Linked DNA regions of Sus scrofa. The protein of the gene in region 2 interacts with the protein of the main gene of each other region in a biochemical or structural test. Links are inferred from orthologs where the notes say so. Each region holds a gene or a part of one and is shown on either strand. Other genes may lie near its edges.

Evidence for each region.
Region 1: the proteins of HDAC4 (region 2) and NACC1 form a complex in vitro, tested with the Homo sapiens proteins (2 studies listed by BioGRID). The link is inferred for Sus scrofa from reciprocal best matches to the Homo sapiens genes HDAC4 and NACC1.

What each region holds. Positions count from the first base shown.
Region 1 is NC_010444.4:65,922,996-65,930,966, forward strand, and holds part of NACC1 (nucleus accumbens-associated protein 1), read right to left. Parts: intron 3,071-7,971; 5' UTR 3,063-3,070; coding exon 2,099-3,062; intron 1,999-2,098; coding exon 1,825-1,998; intron 1,165-1,824; coding exon 1,059-1,164; intron 953-1,058; coding exon 855-952; intron 398-854; coding exon 135-397; 3' UTR 1-134. UniProt on the Homo sapiens protein: Functions as a transcriptional repressor. Seems to function as a transcriptional corepressor in neuronal cells through recruitment of HDAC3 and HDAC4. Contributes to tumor progression, and tumor cell proliferation and survival.
Region 2 is NC_010457.5:138,430,900-138,438,870, forward strand, and holds part of HDAC4 (histone deacetylase 4), read right to left. Parts: intron 4,711-7,971; coding exon 4,594-4,710; intron 4,392-4,593; coding exon 4,196-4,391; intron 327-4,195; coding exon 88-326; intron 1-87. UniProt on the Homo sapiens protein: Responsible for the deacetylation of lysine residues on the N-terminal part of the core histones (H2A, H2B, H3 and H4).

The sequences.
Region 1 (7,971 bases), on a different chromosome or scaffold from region 2:
AGGCAGAAGGGCCGGGAGCATGCAGCGCCCCCCCACGGGTCCTGGGGAAGGACAGACAGTAGCTCGTGACCAAGATGGTGGGTGGGTGTGACAGGAGGGGAGTGTGACAGCCCCGTGGGAGGGTCTGGTGGGGGTTACTGGAGGGCCTCCTCGGCTGAGGGGCCGGCCTCGCCGTCATGACTGGCCGTCTCGAAGCCGTGCTCCACACCCATCATGTCCGGCTCTATCTTGCCCGTGTAGCTGATGAAGGTGGTATAGGCGTCACCCTCAGCCATGAGCGGCTTGACCTTGGGGATCCAGCTCTTACGCACAACGCGGCGGGCATTGGTGCACATGTCGGCTGCGATGGCGTTCATCTCGCTTTCCTTGAAGTTAGGGGCAAAGTTCTGGCAGTAGTCTGTACAGGCAGAATGGGTAGCTCAGGCTGAGCAGGGCCCTTACCTCCCAATTTGCAGACAGGCACTTGGCCCCGCTGCTCCTGAATGTCCCAAAGACATACACACACATACACATAGAGCATCCCCAAAGCCCTGGGAAGTGAGGGAACTGAGGCCTCGCAGACAGCTTGCTAAACCACATCGGCAGGCCCCAGGCCTGACCCAGCTTGGCCATATGTGGGGGATGTGTGGATTTGATGCACTTGAAAAATGTTCGTCATTTGCCAAAATTTAAAACCAGGGAGAGTCCACTTAATCTCTAAGCAATCCCAGCCCTCTTCCCAACCAGTCTATATTAAAGCTTAGAAGCCTTAACACCAAGCCCTACTTACCGATCCGTTAGGACCAACACCAGAGAAAAGGACCCAATGCCCGCCCTAGGCCCCCACCCCCACCTCCAGAAGGGTGGACACTCACACTTGACGGCATGGAGGACACGACTGTCCAGTGGCTTGCGGCTGGGGTTGTTACTGGAAGAGCGGATGCCGGTGCCACAGCTGTTGGCCAGTGTGTTCCTGGGCAGGGGAGCATGGGGTGGGGGAGTCAGGCCCCCTGTGGCCGTGGGGGCACGGGACGGCCCCACCTCACCCCCAATCCCTAGGGCTCTGGCGTGAGACTCACCGGTCAAAGAAGGAGGCCAGGAGGCGCCGCAGCAGGACCTTGTGCCGCGTGCCTGCGCTGACGTGGCAGTTCATGAGCTGCGCTCTTGTGATGTACACGTTGGTGCCTGGAGGGGGGGCGGGGAGCCAGAGGATGGCCAGGAAGCCCACTCGGCCAGGTGCTGGGCTGGGCCCAACCTAGACCCTCCTTCACAACTCAACCCAGAGTGGCCTCATCAATACTCAGGAAAGGATGGAGACTGTAGCACCACTGTCCATGGGGCACCCACCCTACCCGGCTCTTGCCCACGTAACACCAGTGTCAGAAAAAAACAGGCAACAGAGGCTCACATGACATCCTGACTTCAAGGGCCAAATTCAAACCCTGTGAAGCCTCTGACCTATCCCTACATGGCCAACAATGCTGGCCAACAATGCCAGCCAACACTTACACCAACCTCCGGGGTAGAAACCTAGAAGACAGTCTTGCATTTGTATCAATGCTAGGGGGTGTCACCTGCCCTAGGATGTAGGTAATGGGCAGCAGGGCTGGGGATGGACTTTTGAGTCTCTTGTTTTTGTTTTGTTTGAGGTTTTTGGGCTGCGCTGCTACATGTGGAAATTCCCAGGCCAGGAACTGAACCCACGCCACAGTAATGACAATGAGCCACAGCAGCGATGACATTGGGTCCTTAACTACTAGGTTGCCAGGGAACTCCCGGACCTTGGGTCTGGCTGCCTGAGGTGAGGGGCAGGGAGAATTCAGGGAGGGAGTGAGGCTGGCCCACCTGTCACCAGCTCCAGCTTCTCAGAAGGGTCGCCCTCGTCGTAGAGCTTGGGGTGGCAGCGGTTACCGATCTGGTTGATGAGCTCAGCGGGGAGAGATGCCAGGTCCTGCCGTACCCGGATGCGATTCCGGGACTCGGGGGCCACCTGCTCGGGGAGGGCCTCCACCTTCTCGGCTGGGGGGTAGGGGAAAGAGTGGTGTGTTGGGGATAGGGGCAGCAGAGGGAGAGGGGCCAGGCTGGGGTGGGGGGTTGCGGGGCCAGGCAGGTGCCTCACCGGTCTGGCCGACGTTCATCATGCTGTACATGGTGTACATATTGCAGATCTGCCGGTACTGCTCATCTGTGCCCTCCTCGCCCGCGTCCTCCTCCTCGTCCTCCTCATTGTGGTAGGAGCTGGGGCTGTCGCTGGTGTAGGCACTTGAGGTGCCTGGGCTGGTCCGCTCCGACGTGCTGGGCCCACTCACCACTGCCCCTGCTGCCGCCGCTGCCGCCACCGCTGCCGCTCCCCCAGTCGATTGCCCAGCTCCGGCCCCTGCAGCCACCCCAGTGGGCTGTGCAGCTGCCACCACCGGGGGCTGCTGGGGTGCCCGGTTGGCGGTCAGATCTGGCGTGGAAAACTTGGCCATCTTGCGGCTGCCGTTGCTACCACTGCCACCGCCCGCCTCCTTCTGGCCGCTGTCCCATAGCCGCTTGGCCACAGGCGTGCACTGCACAGAGTCCGACTCCTGCTGCTCTGTCTTGACTCGAGACACCAGGGGCAGCGGGGTACCGCAGGCCGGCCAGCTCGACGTCTGCGCCACGGGGCTCTGGGGCTCGGACGAGGGCGCCTCCTCGGCGTGCAGGCCCTGGGAGTCGCAGCTAGGGGAGCTCACCTTGAGGAAGAACTCTGTGCCCTTCTCCATGATCTCCTGTATCTGCAGGAAGCCAGCCGTGTACATGAGCAGGAACTGGTCACCCATGTTCATGCTCAGCCGGCCAGTGTAGCAGAAGCTGAGGATCTGCTGGAAGGACTGGGGCTGCACGGCCGCCGGCAGCTCCACCACAGCGCTCCGGCTGCTGTTGAACAGGTCCCGGAAGTAGGAGCTGCTGGCGGCCAGCACAGCCCGGTGGGCCTTGAAGGCGTGGCCCTTGACCACCACCGACACATCACAGTACAGGCCCTGCAGCCGCTGCTCGTTGAGGCACTCCAGAATGCTGTTGCCAAAGTTCGGGATCTCCATCTGCAGCGTCTGGGCCATGGCGGCGGCTGCGAAGGGGACATGGAGAGACAGAAGGACGAGGGTCAGGCAGCAGACTCAGCCCACTGCAGGGAGACACACGGGCGCTCGGACAGCCACATGGTGGAATTTGCATGACTATAAGGATCCCAGGAGCCAGCCACTCCTGTCCCAGCGTGGCCTTGCCTGTGACAGACTGTCAAATCAGCAGGGTGGCTGCCTGCTGTCCCTTGCAGAAGGAGGGCAAAGGCATTCTTATGCATATGTGGTTGAATAATACATGAGATGTCACAGTGAGCACCCCATGACTGTTAGCCATCACTAGCACTACACACATAGTGAAGGGCACTGACATAGGAACGCCAGGAAGGCAGAGTCATCGGATCTTATATGCTGCATTCTCAGTGCTGAGCACATGACCCTCAATCACCATTTGTTGAATGACAGAATGACAACTCAAAACCCCTGAAACTGTATGGGAACATCACTAGACATCGGGGAATCGCAAATCCAAACCACAATGGGACACCATTTCATACCCGCTAGGGTGGGCAGAATAAAAAAGATAAATAAGTGTTAGTGAGGATGAAATGAATGGAAACCCTCCTATGTTGCTGGTGGAAATGCAAAGTTGTACAGTTGCTGGGGAAAACGGTTCCTCAGATGTTTAAACATGAAGTTACCATATGACCCAGCAATTCCACTTCTAGGAATTATACCCCAGAAAGGCAAACATATATCCACACATATGCCTGTCCATGAATGTTTATACCAGCACCACCCACAACAGGCAAAAGGTGGAAAAAAACTAAACATCCATCAGCTGATGGATGCATAAACAAAATGTGGTGCATCTACAACAGAATACTATTCAGCCATAAAAAGGAACAAACTACTGACACATGCCACAACTTGAATAAACCTTAAAAAACATGTTAAATCCGGAGTTCCCGTCGTGGCGCAGTGGTTAACGAATCCGACTAGGAACCATGAGGTTGCGGGTTTGGTCCCTGGCCTTGCTCAGTGGGTTAACGATCCGGCATTGCCGTGAGCTGTGGTGTAGGTTGCAGACGCGGCTCGGATCCCGCGTTGCTGTGGCTCTGGCATAGGCTGGTGGCTACAGCTCCAATTCAACCCCTAGCCTGGGAACCTCCATATGCCGCGGGAGCGGCCCAAGAAATAGCAACAAAAACAACAAAAAGACAAAAGACAAAAAGACAAAAAAAAAAAAAAAAAAAACAACATGTTAAATCCAAGAAGCCAGACTGAAGGCCCACATATTACACAATCCCATGCTTATGAAATGGCCGGAATATGCAAAGCCATAGAGACAGCAGATTAGTGGCTGCTGGGGGCTGGGAGGATTGGGGGAGTGTGAGCAAATGGGTCAGGGTTTCTTCTTGCCCTAAAGAAAAATGTTCTGAAATTGTGGTGATGGATACACAACTCTGTGAATATGCTAAAAACTACTAAATCTGTACCCTTTAAATGGGTGAACTGCATGATATATGCATCTCCAGAAAGCTGCTCAAAGAAACTATAAGACTTATGTCCAATGTGCAGAATTTGGGATGAGACTTGCCACGTACATTCTTTTTTTTTTTTTTTTTTTTTGTCTTTTGTCTTTGTTATTGTTGTTGTTATTGTTGCTATTTCTTGGGCCGCTCCCGCGGCATATGGAGGTTCCCAGGCTAGGGGTTGAGTCAGAGCTGTAGCCACCGGCCTACGCCAGAGCCACAGCAACGCGGGATCCGAGCCGCGTCTGCAACCTACACCACAGCTCACGGCAATGCCGGATCGTTAACCCACTGAGCAAGGGCAGGGATCGAACCTGCAACCTCATGGTTCCTAGTCGGATTCGTTAACCACTGCGCCACGACGGGAACTCCGCCATGTATATTCTTAAGGTGTTTTAAATATTGAACCTGGTGAATGTATTGCCTATTTACAAAAATAAAAAGTATTGGGGTTCCCGTCGTGGTGTGGTGAAAATGAATCCAAGTAGGAACCATGAGGTTGCAGGTTCGATCCCTGGCCTCGCTCAGTGGGTTAGAGATCCGGCGTTGTTGTGAGCTGTGGTGTAGGCCGGAAGCTATAGCTCCAATCCAGCCCCTAGCCTGGGAACCTCCATATGCCATGGGTGCAGCCCTTAAATGACAAAAGCCAAAAAAGCATTTAATAAGAAATAAAGTGTGTGAAATAACTTTTTTTTTTTTTTTTTTTTTTTTTTTGCTTTTTAGGGCCGCACTCGCGGCACATGGAGGATTCCAGGCTAGGGATTGAATCAGAGCTATAGCTGCCAGCCACAGCCACAGCCACACAGGATCCAAGCTGCGTCTGTGACCTATACCACAGCTCACAGCAACACCAGATCCCCGACCTACTGAACAAGGCCAGGGATAGTACATGCACCCTCTTGGATACTAGTGGGAATGTTTCCACTGAGCCACATGGGGAACCCCAACACCACATTTACGCAAATTAACTTCAAAGTGCTTGAGGGGTGGGTAGAGAAAGAAATATGAATTTAAGGAACTGCCTGAGATCTTGACCTGTGAGGTACTACCTGGGGGGCCCTGGCACCTCTCAAAAGTGTGAACCTCTGCATCAGAACCTATTCCATCAGTGCACATTCCAGCCCAGGAGAAGAACTGGTCAGGGGAGACCAGCATGTCCCATGCTCTGGGGGTAATCATAAAAGGGCTATGCGGGAAGATGTGGCTTTACAAGCGCCCCTACTGGTAAAAGGGAGTCCCCTGCAATGTTACAGGTATAAAGGGCAGTGGACCTGCATGGGCAGGTAGGGGTGAGAAGAGAGGCCTGAGCAGAGAGTCAGGTGGGTGAGGAAAAAAGAGAAGAGTGTGCAAAGTCCCTGGGGCAGGAACTACCTAGAGCCCCCGCACTCCCACCCTGTCCTTCCAGGTTAGCTCTCGAGGATCTTCAGTTTTTTACTTTAACAAGTCCAACCTAAGCTGCCTCTGAGGGGTGAGCATGGGGGATGCAGTGGGGACCTGAGCCCTATCTGGGCTCATTCCGAAAGGGCTGCCAGGAGGAACAGAAGGGGCCAGGTGCTCATGGGCTGAGGTGCACTCAAGCCAGGGTGTCTCGGCTCCAGAACAGACTTGCTTTAGGGACCAGGAACTCCACATCTCTGCTTCTTCCCTTGGAAATTAACACTGTTAAGGCCAACCTGATTCTGCACACTCAACCCATACTCACTGAGCTGCTCCACGTGGGAGACCCTGAGGGAGACGCAGGCCCTATCCCTCCCAGCACCCAGGCTACCACAGGAGCTGACGCCTGACCTTAGTGAGCTCCCTGATTCTTCTCAGCAAGCCAATGGGGTTGATTTCCTACCCCTAAAACTCAGCTGGGAAAGCTGAGTCCATGCAGAAGCTAAGATCTGTCCTAAGGTTACACATAAGCGGTAGAGACAAGATTCAAAGCCAGATCTGTCTGACCAATGAAACCCAAGGTTTCCCTCAGCTGTACCCTCTTCCTCTTCATCAAAATCATTGTTACTGCTACGAAAAACAAAAAGGCAATCAGGAGGGGGAGGCAGTGACAGGGAAATCCTAGTTACAAGGCAGCATACAGCTCCCAGGAGCTGGGCCTCTGAGTGAGGAGGCAGGGGAAACTGAGGCATCAAGAGGCAAAGGACAGAGCCCTGACCCGCCTCCCCAGACTGCCAAACCAAAGCCCTTTGGGGTACTGGGGACCAAGTGACCAGGGCCAAGGCAGACAAGGAAGAGGCTGGTTGGCCTCTAGTCCCTGGAGGGGTGCTCTAGACCCGTGGCATGAGAGGTTCACAACCCCTAGGAAGTGGACCAAGGCAGGACAGGCATACAGCAGAGCTAGAGCCACACCCGCAGCATATGGTAGTTCCCAGGCTAGGGGTCGAATGGCAGCTATAGCTGCCTGCCTACACCACAGCCATAGCAATGTCTGCGATCTACACCATAGCTCAATACAATGCTGGATCCTTAACCCACTAAGCAAGGCCAGGATGAAACCCGTGTCCTCATGGATACTAGTTGGGTTTGTTACTGCTAAGCCATGACAGAGACTTCTAAACCTGGGTTCTGCTGCAACAGCCCCATCATCCTGAAGCTGTGTGACCTCAGGCCAGCCCCTCACCTCTCTGTGCCTCAGTCTGTTCATCTGTAAAATGGGGAGGTATTCACTCACCCCCACCCCACCCCAATGGACTGCAAGGTGCTGGGGACACAGCCCTGAAGAGGGCTGGCTATGCCTGTATGGAGCTCACTGCCCAGTGGGGAGACACAGAGGGTGATTTAATTTCAGGTGAGGTGACTGTGTCTCTGGAAGTCAGCACAGTGTGAGGGACAAGGAGGCCCTGGCCCAGTGAGGATGAACATTTGAGTGAACAATGGAGAGCCTGGAGCCCAGACCAGTTTTGGGAGAATTCCCACAGAGGGTTGTGACTGTCTCAGGAGTGAGCCTTTATGGGCAGACAGGGCATCGTTTTAAAAGCCACATATTCAGTTTTTGTTTTTGGCCACATACTCCTCCCAATTTGGCACATCAGCCTGCCCATCTTCTGGGATCCCCCTGATCCCCCAGGATGGGAGGGGAAGCCCCCAGCCCCACAGGAGACTTTTCCAGCAACACTACTCCTGGCCCTGGATGACAGTGGGTTTCCTGATGAGGTGCAAGGGCGCGACATACGGTTTCCATGGCCTCTCAACAGTCACTCAACAAATATTTGCCAAGCGCCTGCCTGGGGCAGGAAATGCCAGGAGCCTGGGGCGGGAAACAACTAATTCAGGCCTCCGGAGCCCAGACAGAGGCATCCTGGGTCACACAGATTAACAAGCTGTAGGTCCGGGCCTCTGACTTCACTCAGAAGATGGAACACTGGAGTTGAGATCTGGGGGCACAAGGTGGTGGAGGTGTGTGTGTGGGGGTG
Region 2 (7,971 bases):
CCGGGGGCGGGGGGAGCAAGCAGAGTGAGCCGCCTGGTGACAGACATGTGCAGCTGCCCCGGGGACGCGGGGACTGACCCGACTGACCTTGTTGAGGTGCAGCTGCTGCTGCTGAAACTGCTGCTTGTGCTTCTCCAGGAACTGCTGGTGCTGCTGCTGGATCACCAGGTGCTGCAGGGCCTGCGCGTTCTGGGGCAGTGGCGCCGACTGCGTGCGCCCCAGCGGGCGGTGCTGCCGCAGCTTGTGGATGGACGGGGACACGCGGTCCGCCCCCACCAGGGACTGCGCGTGCAGGGGCAGCGCTCCCAGGCCTGCAAGATACCAGTCTGAAGATAATACGGAGGAAAAGGCGCAGAGGGAAGAGGAAGAAGAGAGGAGGGAGAGGCGGGTGAGTGACGGCTGGAGACCACGGGGACTGCACCCGCCAGCCCGGCACCGCCTCCCGGAAGCCTGCCGGGCCTGCTCCAGCCCGGTGAGCTTCCCGGCCCCGGCTTCATGCAGAGGCCGTCCCCTGGAGGCCACTGCTCCTGACATCCAGGTCCAGCCATAAACGGGGTCTGAGTGGCCCCAGCAACCTGCCCTCAATGGGGCCAAGGCCGAAAAGCTTTGCCCGAACAGCACTGTGGGTGAGGAGACGCACAGGCCCAGCCGAGGAGGGGGCTGTGGTTCCGGTGGCTCCAGAGGCTTCTGGAAGGCCGGCGACCGGGCTCCTCGCTGACGGCCACAGAAACCAGGGCGCGAGGAAGACACCGACCGCCCTCAGGGATCAGGCCTTTTTACACACAGAGGCGTTAACACCACGCGCCCTTCTGACGCCCACTGTCAAGATCTCTGTTTCCAGCAAAGGGTCTGGCCTCAGCTGCCCAGGAAAAGGGCGGCCACACCCACCCCTGTCTTGACCGAGAGTCTGAACTGAGAATCGACACGGGCAGGAGAGGATCTTGTTTGAATCTGAGTTTGAATCTTGTTTTAAAGAGCAACCGCCTCAGGCGGACAGCCTCCTTCAGCATCTTCCCTCCCGCCTCCCTTCCAGGCATCGGTCGTGTCTTTCAAACAAGTCGTTAGTTTGGAGAGTTTACTGCTGTCCCCTGGTTCCACCAGCAAAGGGGTAAGACAAGCCCTTTCAGCCCCCAAGCGTCTGTTCCTTGGCCACCGAAGGGGGAGAAACGCTAACGGCATCCCAGGCTGACAACGACCCCAGACCGGGGCGTCTGGCCGGGAGAAGCAACAGGTGCCCTGACCACGTCAGCTCTTGGCTGACCCGACACAGGCCACTGTGCTCCAGGGACGCGGGCGGATGGTGGAAGGGCCTGACGGGCGAGTGCCTGGGTCGGACACAGGGCTGCCCGGGTCGGGGGCCCTTTGGGGGGATCCTGGTCTGCTGCTGCCCCAGCTCTCCCCCTCATCCCATTCACCCCGGATGTCACTCCAGTGCCTGCAGAGTGTAAAGCCGTGGGGCCACCACACTCGGGACAAAGGTACCGATCAGCATGGCTGAGGACTGGACCTCTGACCTTCTGGCAGCAAACCGGGGGCTGGCCAGGGCGCTTCTGTGCCTAAGATGCCCCCATCATTACGAGGGTTTGGGATGATACCTCACAGTTGGCTGCTTTTCGGAACATACCGTAACATTTTTAAGCACGAGGGCTCAGTCGATTAGGATCGGACTCTGCCCTAGGTGCCCAGCTGCCTGCAGAGGCGGGCAGGGAGGTTGAATGGGGCTTCGCTCCTCCAGCCCGCAGCATGGGCAGAAGGCCCACCGGGCCCGGGAAAGGAGCCACGTTGACCGCAGAGCCCGTGCCAGGGCGCCCCCCGGGCACACACTCTGTTCCTCCTGGGGGATGGGCTGGGGGTGACGGGGCAGGGGCAGCCTCCCCGGGGTCCACGCTGGCACATGAGATGGTGTTTCTCCACCAGGCCAGCGGCGGACGTTTTACCGCTGCACTGGGTCCTGTCCAGATGCAGGAATCTGCCCGAGATGAGCAGCGCCTGCGTCCTGAGGTCTTACAAATCCACTGCCCTACCAGCCACGGCCAACATCTGTCAAGCATTTCAGGGGGGAATGAACCAAGCAGGACTTAGGTCTCAACTGGCAGAGCAGCACAACCTGGGTGCCTGGCTAGCATCCCAGGCTGCAAGCCCCATCTGGCCCAGTCAGTCAGCCTACTTGGGAGCTCTGGGATGGCCAGCTAGGTTCCCAGGAGGTGGCCACACTCGCAGCACATTGCTGAGTGGCCGGAAGCCTGGGTGACACAGCCACATCCGCCAGGCGCCCCCACCTGCCTCTCTCCTGGGCCCTTTATTCCACCTGTTCACCTGCGATTCCTACAAAAGTCTCAGGGAAGGTGCACGCCCCCAGGAAGCCTTCCCTGACTGCACCCTGCTGCAAGCCCAGCACCCAACCTTCTCCATGAGCCCCAACTGCAAAGCTCTCCGTGGGTCGGGGGAGTGGGGTGCCTGGCGAGTAGGAGACGCTGATCTGACAGCTCTGCTCGCCGGCCACGGGTGATGCACTGGGCAGGTGGCTGCCTGCTCAGGGTCGTGGCTTCCCTCCAGGCCAGGCTGCCCAGCAGAACCTTCTATGTGGAAGATACAATCCACATGCCTGGCCCACGTGTGTCCAGCCTGGGGAGGACTAGAGCGAGCAGCAAACACAGCTTCTTTCGGCCCTGAGCGTCCGGCCTGGGCCCGCTGCTTGGAGACTCGACCTGGGACCATTTCAGGGCCCCCTGCTCCTTTCAGGGGAAGATTCCAGTCTGTCGAGGGCGTCCCAGAGCTTCTGACACCGAGGATGCACAAGCCGCTCTGAGCAGGCGGCGCGTGGACCCAGGACCCCGCACCTTCCCCAGCAGGGACCCGCTGCCAGGCATTTGGGAAAGGACCTGGGTTCTAGCTCTGACACCGTCTGTCCACAGAGACCATCACCAACAGGCAGGGCTGTGGGCCGACCCCTCGGGAACCTCAGAGAACCCGCCAGAGCAAACCCGTGCTGAGTGACCCTCCCTGGCCCTGCTCAGACACCCCGCCTGGCACATGGTCCAGTCGCAGAGACATCTGTGCACCCACCACGCACCAACTGCTGCGTGGGGGGGAGGGAGGAGGTGGCCAGGGTGCAGACGAGACGGAGCATGAGAAGCTGCACTGCGGCAGCAGGACCAGGAGGAAGGCCGGGGCTCCTGGCGGGAGGTGGGTGCATGCAAGCCGGACCCAGTGCCGAGAGGGCTCTGAGAAGAGGGTGCTTCCAGAGGGCCCGTGTCGGCCCCCCGCCCAAGGGAGCCTCGTACCCTGTGTGGAGAGGAGGCACTGGGAGGCCGGGCAGGTGGCTGCCTGCTCAGGGCTGCAGCTTCCCTCCAGGCCAGGCTGCCCAGCAGAGCCTTCTGTGTGGAAGGTACGTTCCACGTGCCTACCGCCCCACGGCCGGCAGCCAAGGGAGCGTTTTCTAGGTCACACGTGGGCCTGAACCAATTTTCCCTGTGCTCTTAATTTGGAACTGAAATGTGAACGGCCACCCTGGATGGTGCTGCTCTGGACCCCGGAGGGCCCCTGAGTGGAGCTGGAGGACGCAGTGGGAGTGAAACTGCATGCAAGGGGCCTTCCCGCAAGAAAGACCCAGGATCAGGGTGGGGGTGGGGGCAGGGGGGTGGCCCGAGACCCCAGGAAGGACAGGCGGGGGCGGGGGAGGGACAGAGTGAGGTTGAAGGCCAAGCCCCGTAAAACTAAGAGCAACCACATGGACTGTAGGCACAGACGGCCGAGGAGGGCTCAGGGTCAGGGCTGCCCCGTGGCTACTCGGACTCGGTCAACCCCCAAAACCCGGGGGAGGCCGAGCACCACAGACGGGGCCTGGCCGTGGGATGGAGGCTTCCTCGCCTCCAGGGAGCCCATGGGCTCCATCACCGGAGTAATGCTTTTCCCTGCTGCGGGCCCTTCTAATACAACCGTCCCTTAGGGCGCATGTCAGGTGACTTCACTGAGAGAGACGGACCGCCCAGCAGAGCCGACTCGGCTGCATGGAGCGGCTGGCGCATCAGGGCGGCCGACCCGCTCGACTCCATGCACCTGCCACGCAGGTGGACGCGGTCTAAGGAGCCACCGCCTCGCGTGAGGGGGTGTGCACAGCAGTGCTGGGGGCCGTCTCACCAGCCCCCTTGAAGCCCACAACTGCCCACCCCAGCGGGGCCTGGAGGGCACTCACCTGTGACCAGGGGTGTCTGCGCGGCCGGCTGCTCCAGGAGGACCATGTGCTGCAGGAGAGGGTTGTGGGCCGTCCCCGCGTCCCGGTCCAGGGGAGCCGCGCTCAGGTAGGGGGAGAGGTGGGTGCCGGGGAAGAGGTGGATGCGCTGCTGGAGGGCGGGGAGGGTGAGCCTCTCGGCTTCCTGCTGGCCCGCCGCCTGGGGAGGCAGAGCGGGACGGGGGCCGTCAGGGCGACAACGTCCCCCACCCCCGCAGGCCCGTGGGCAAGCCGCTGGGCTTCCTGCTGGCCCACTGCCCCCTGGGGAGGCAGAATGGGATGGGGGGTGGGGGGAGCCAGGGGTGGGCCAGTGATAGCACCGCCCCCCCGCCAACCCCGCAGACCCGTGGGTGCCTACTTACCGTGGAAGGGCCGGTGGCGGGAAGCCCCAGCGTGATGTTGGGCAAAGACGGGGACGTGTAGAGGGGGAGGGGGCCCACGGAGCCTTCCCGAGTCACGAGCCTGTGAGCCAAGCTGGTCTGCGGACAGAGCACACGGCCGTCACACAGCCTGCAGGCCAGGCCTGCGGTCCCCTGAACAAAGCTGTCTTGACAAGTGACAGCAGCGAGACAGACGCGGCCGTCCACAGCATTAGAACCTGATTCACGATCCGTCACACTCTTGCTTGTTTTTAGTTAACTTGCTCATTCGCACTAAAGCTACCAGACTAAATCCAGGAGAGTATGTTTAAAAATATGTTCTGAGAGCTGGGAATGTCCTTCCAAACAAAACACGAGAGGTAGGAACGAGAGAGGAAAATGATGAATAAAAACAATCCCCTCACATAAAAGGCAAATAGTGCTGACGACAAGGCTGGCAATGGATAGTACAGACAGAGGCCAATATATAAAGAGCACACAGATCAAACAACAATTCATGAGGAAGGACAAAGAAGAACCAACATGGAGAAAAAACTCAGGAAAGAAAATTCAGCACCATCCTGTAATCTAAAGACCTATCAAAAAATCTAAAAATGTATTTTAAAATTGATCATGTTGGCAAAGGTTTTTTGAAAATGACGACAGCATCGTGATCGAGGGAGTTGGAAACACGCTGCCGGGTGGACGGTAAATGGGTGCCTTCCTTCTGCAGGACGATTCGGCGCTCCTTGTCAAAAGCCTTAAAACAGACCCAATCTTTGCTCCGAGACCCCTCCCCTCCACGCTGAGGGTGTCCTCTTAGGAAGTAAAGCTAGAGGAATTTGAGGATCTTATTTACCACGTGGGGCTAAGCAGCAGCCCCGAGGACCTGCACCACTGTGGCATTTCACATCGTCTTGCTTCTAGAAGGCATGTCCTTTGCTAAGAGGACACTGTCTCATTCACACCATCTCCTCCCCTCGGTAGGGACCAAGAGCACACAGTCACAACCACGAGCCGAGCAACAGCAGGTGGTGTGTGTGCCCTGACGTCGGCGGGGGGTCGCGGAAAGTCACCTTCGTGATGGACAGGTCACCAAGTCTCTCCTAGTTCTTCCCCCAAAGGATTTTTTAATTAAGGATGAGAAACACCTGGGTGCTCAAAAATTTCATTTGCAAGATAAAAATGTGCAGATGCGTGAGCTGAAAGGGATGACAGGTTCCCGTAAGCCATGACGGAAGGTCTACCGCGCAGCTAGAAAGCGCTCCCCCCCTGCCCCCCATCCCCGGGAAGGCAGACCCTTCCCCCGCCCCCGGCGGGGCGCAGGCATTCCCTGCCTTGCTGGGTGGCTCAACGGTGTCACACGCTGCACCTGATAAACTGTCCTCATGCCACCCCGGCAACGCAGGAAGGACCGTGTCCTCACTTGGGAGGAAGTTTAGCTGCAGGAAGGTGGCTGCAGCAAAGGCTTTAGGCTTTAGGTTTTTCACATAGTAACACAGTAATGATTCAAGGGCGCCTTAAAAAATGGCCTCTTTCCGGGTTAAAAACAAGCAGCAAGCTGTGCTTCAGAGGAAGCGGCTCAGAGTGCCAAGGAGGGCAGGAGGGCTCCGGACTGTGATGCCCAGGAACCAAAGCCACGGACATGCCAAGTCTGCAAAGCCATCACTTCCTCTTGCATCTCATTCACATCTAGAAATGGGAGTCCCCATCATGGCTCAGCGGTGAGCAAAGCCGACTAGCACCCACGAGGACATGGGTTCGATCCCTGGCCTCGCTCAGTGGGTTAAAGATCCCGCGTTGCCGTTAGCTGTGGATCATATGTGCTGTGGCTGCGGTGTAGGCGGGTGGCTGCAGCTCCAATTCGACCCCTAGCCTGGGAACCTCCATATGCCGTGGGTACGGCCCTAAAAAGACAAAAAGACCAAAAATAAAATAAAATAAAATAAATAAATGAAGCAGCCCTCTGCTTCATGGTCAGGTGCTGGCCGTGTCCATCGGCCCTACCACTCGCTCCCACTGGAAAGTCCAGGGCCAGGTCAGCGCCCACCACCAGCCTCCAAATCACACTTGGCTTTCTGCATGGAACGAAGCGCCCCCACGGAGGAGGCCATCCCTGGGTGGGGGAGCCCTGCTTCCTCTGGGGTGGAGGCGCTGAGCTTCCCTCGGTCCCGCAGTGAAAGGGGTGCAGGCAGCTCCGTGCCCCCCATCTCCGCAGGAGCAGCCTGGCTTCCTGGGCCCGGAGCTCTCACCAAACTGCCCAATCCTAACACGTCTCAAAATCCACAATCCAACTGAGATCAAATGTTCAGAGGCTGCCCCTGCGATTACAATGAAAAGCTCAGTGAAACACGGAAACCGCACTCTTCCCACCTCCTGGGATTCCTTTCGCATCTTCCATCAATTTGCAGGAGCTTAATTCACGTTAACATGGGATTTGTAAAAACTCACGCATAAGTTAAACCAGCATCCACCCGCATAAGCCCTCTCTACGTACGGGCCATTAGGTACCTAACAGCCCCTTTTAAGCAAAAGCAGGATCCATGACGGCCCTTGACAAGTCACAGCCGGCACGTCCATCTCGTTCAGGGAAGCAGTTTTTAGGCCAAGTTCTAAGGCAAATTACAGGTATGACCTCCGTCTTACAAACTGTAACCACCTCGAGGATTTTCGCAGGTGGGTTGAAATGCACGGTAACAAAAGGGACAGATGCACAGAGGAAACGAGGAAGAGGCGACGGGGGATCAAGCAGACTAGAGGAGGAGGCGCTTCGAGGAGTGACCCGAGGCCCTAAAACCCGCCTGGACGCCAGCCTCTAGAAACTGGCAGTGAAAAAGCCGTCACGTGTGTCTGCTTATCCCCCAGGACTCGGCAGCCCTCTGGGAGGGCGGGACTCGTCTCGAGGTATTGAGGAGAGAAAGTAAGATACTGCAGGCAATGACACGAGCTTCCTGGACGTCGGAAGGACGGAGGAAAAACCTCCCAAGAACCCCGCAGTCTGTAGGACCGTCCCCACAGGTAGCACAGGGCACCTACTGCTGGCTCAGTCCCGGGACACTCACTGTGCAGCCGGCTCCCCACGTGGCCCCCAGCCCCGGCCCATCCCAGGCTGCTGGGGAGCCGCGGGGAGGCAGGCCCTTGGCACGTGCCCCAGGACACTTGTGGGATGAGCCGAGGTTGAGTGAAGTGAGTAAAGAGAGAAACAGGCGCGTGGAGGGGAGGTTCTGGAAGCCAGGTCCGGTCACGGGCAGGACCTGCAGCCTGGCCGGCCCTCCACCTGGCCGGATCAGCCACCCATCCCCTCTCTCTGGAACTCTCTCGCCACCCATGTCCGGCTCAAGCTGCAGCACACCTGGGCTGCCAAGCAGAGGTGAGGGGCAC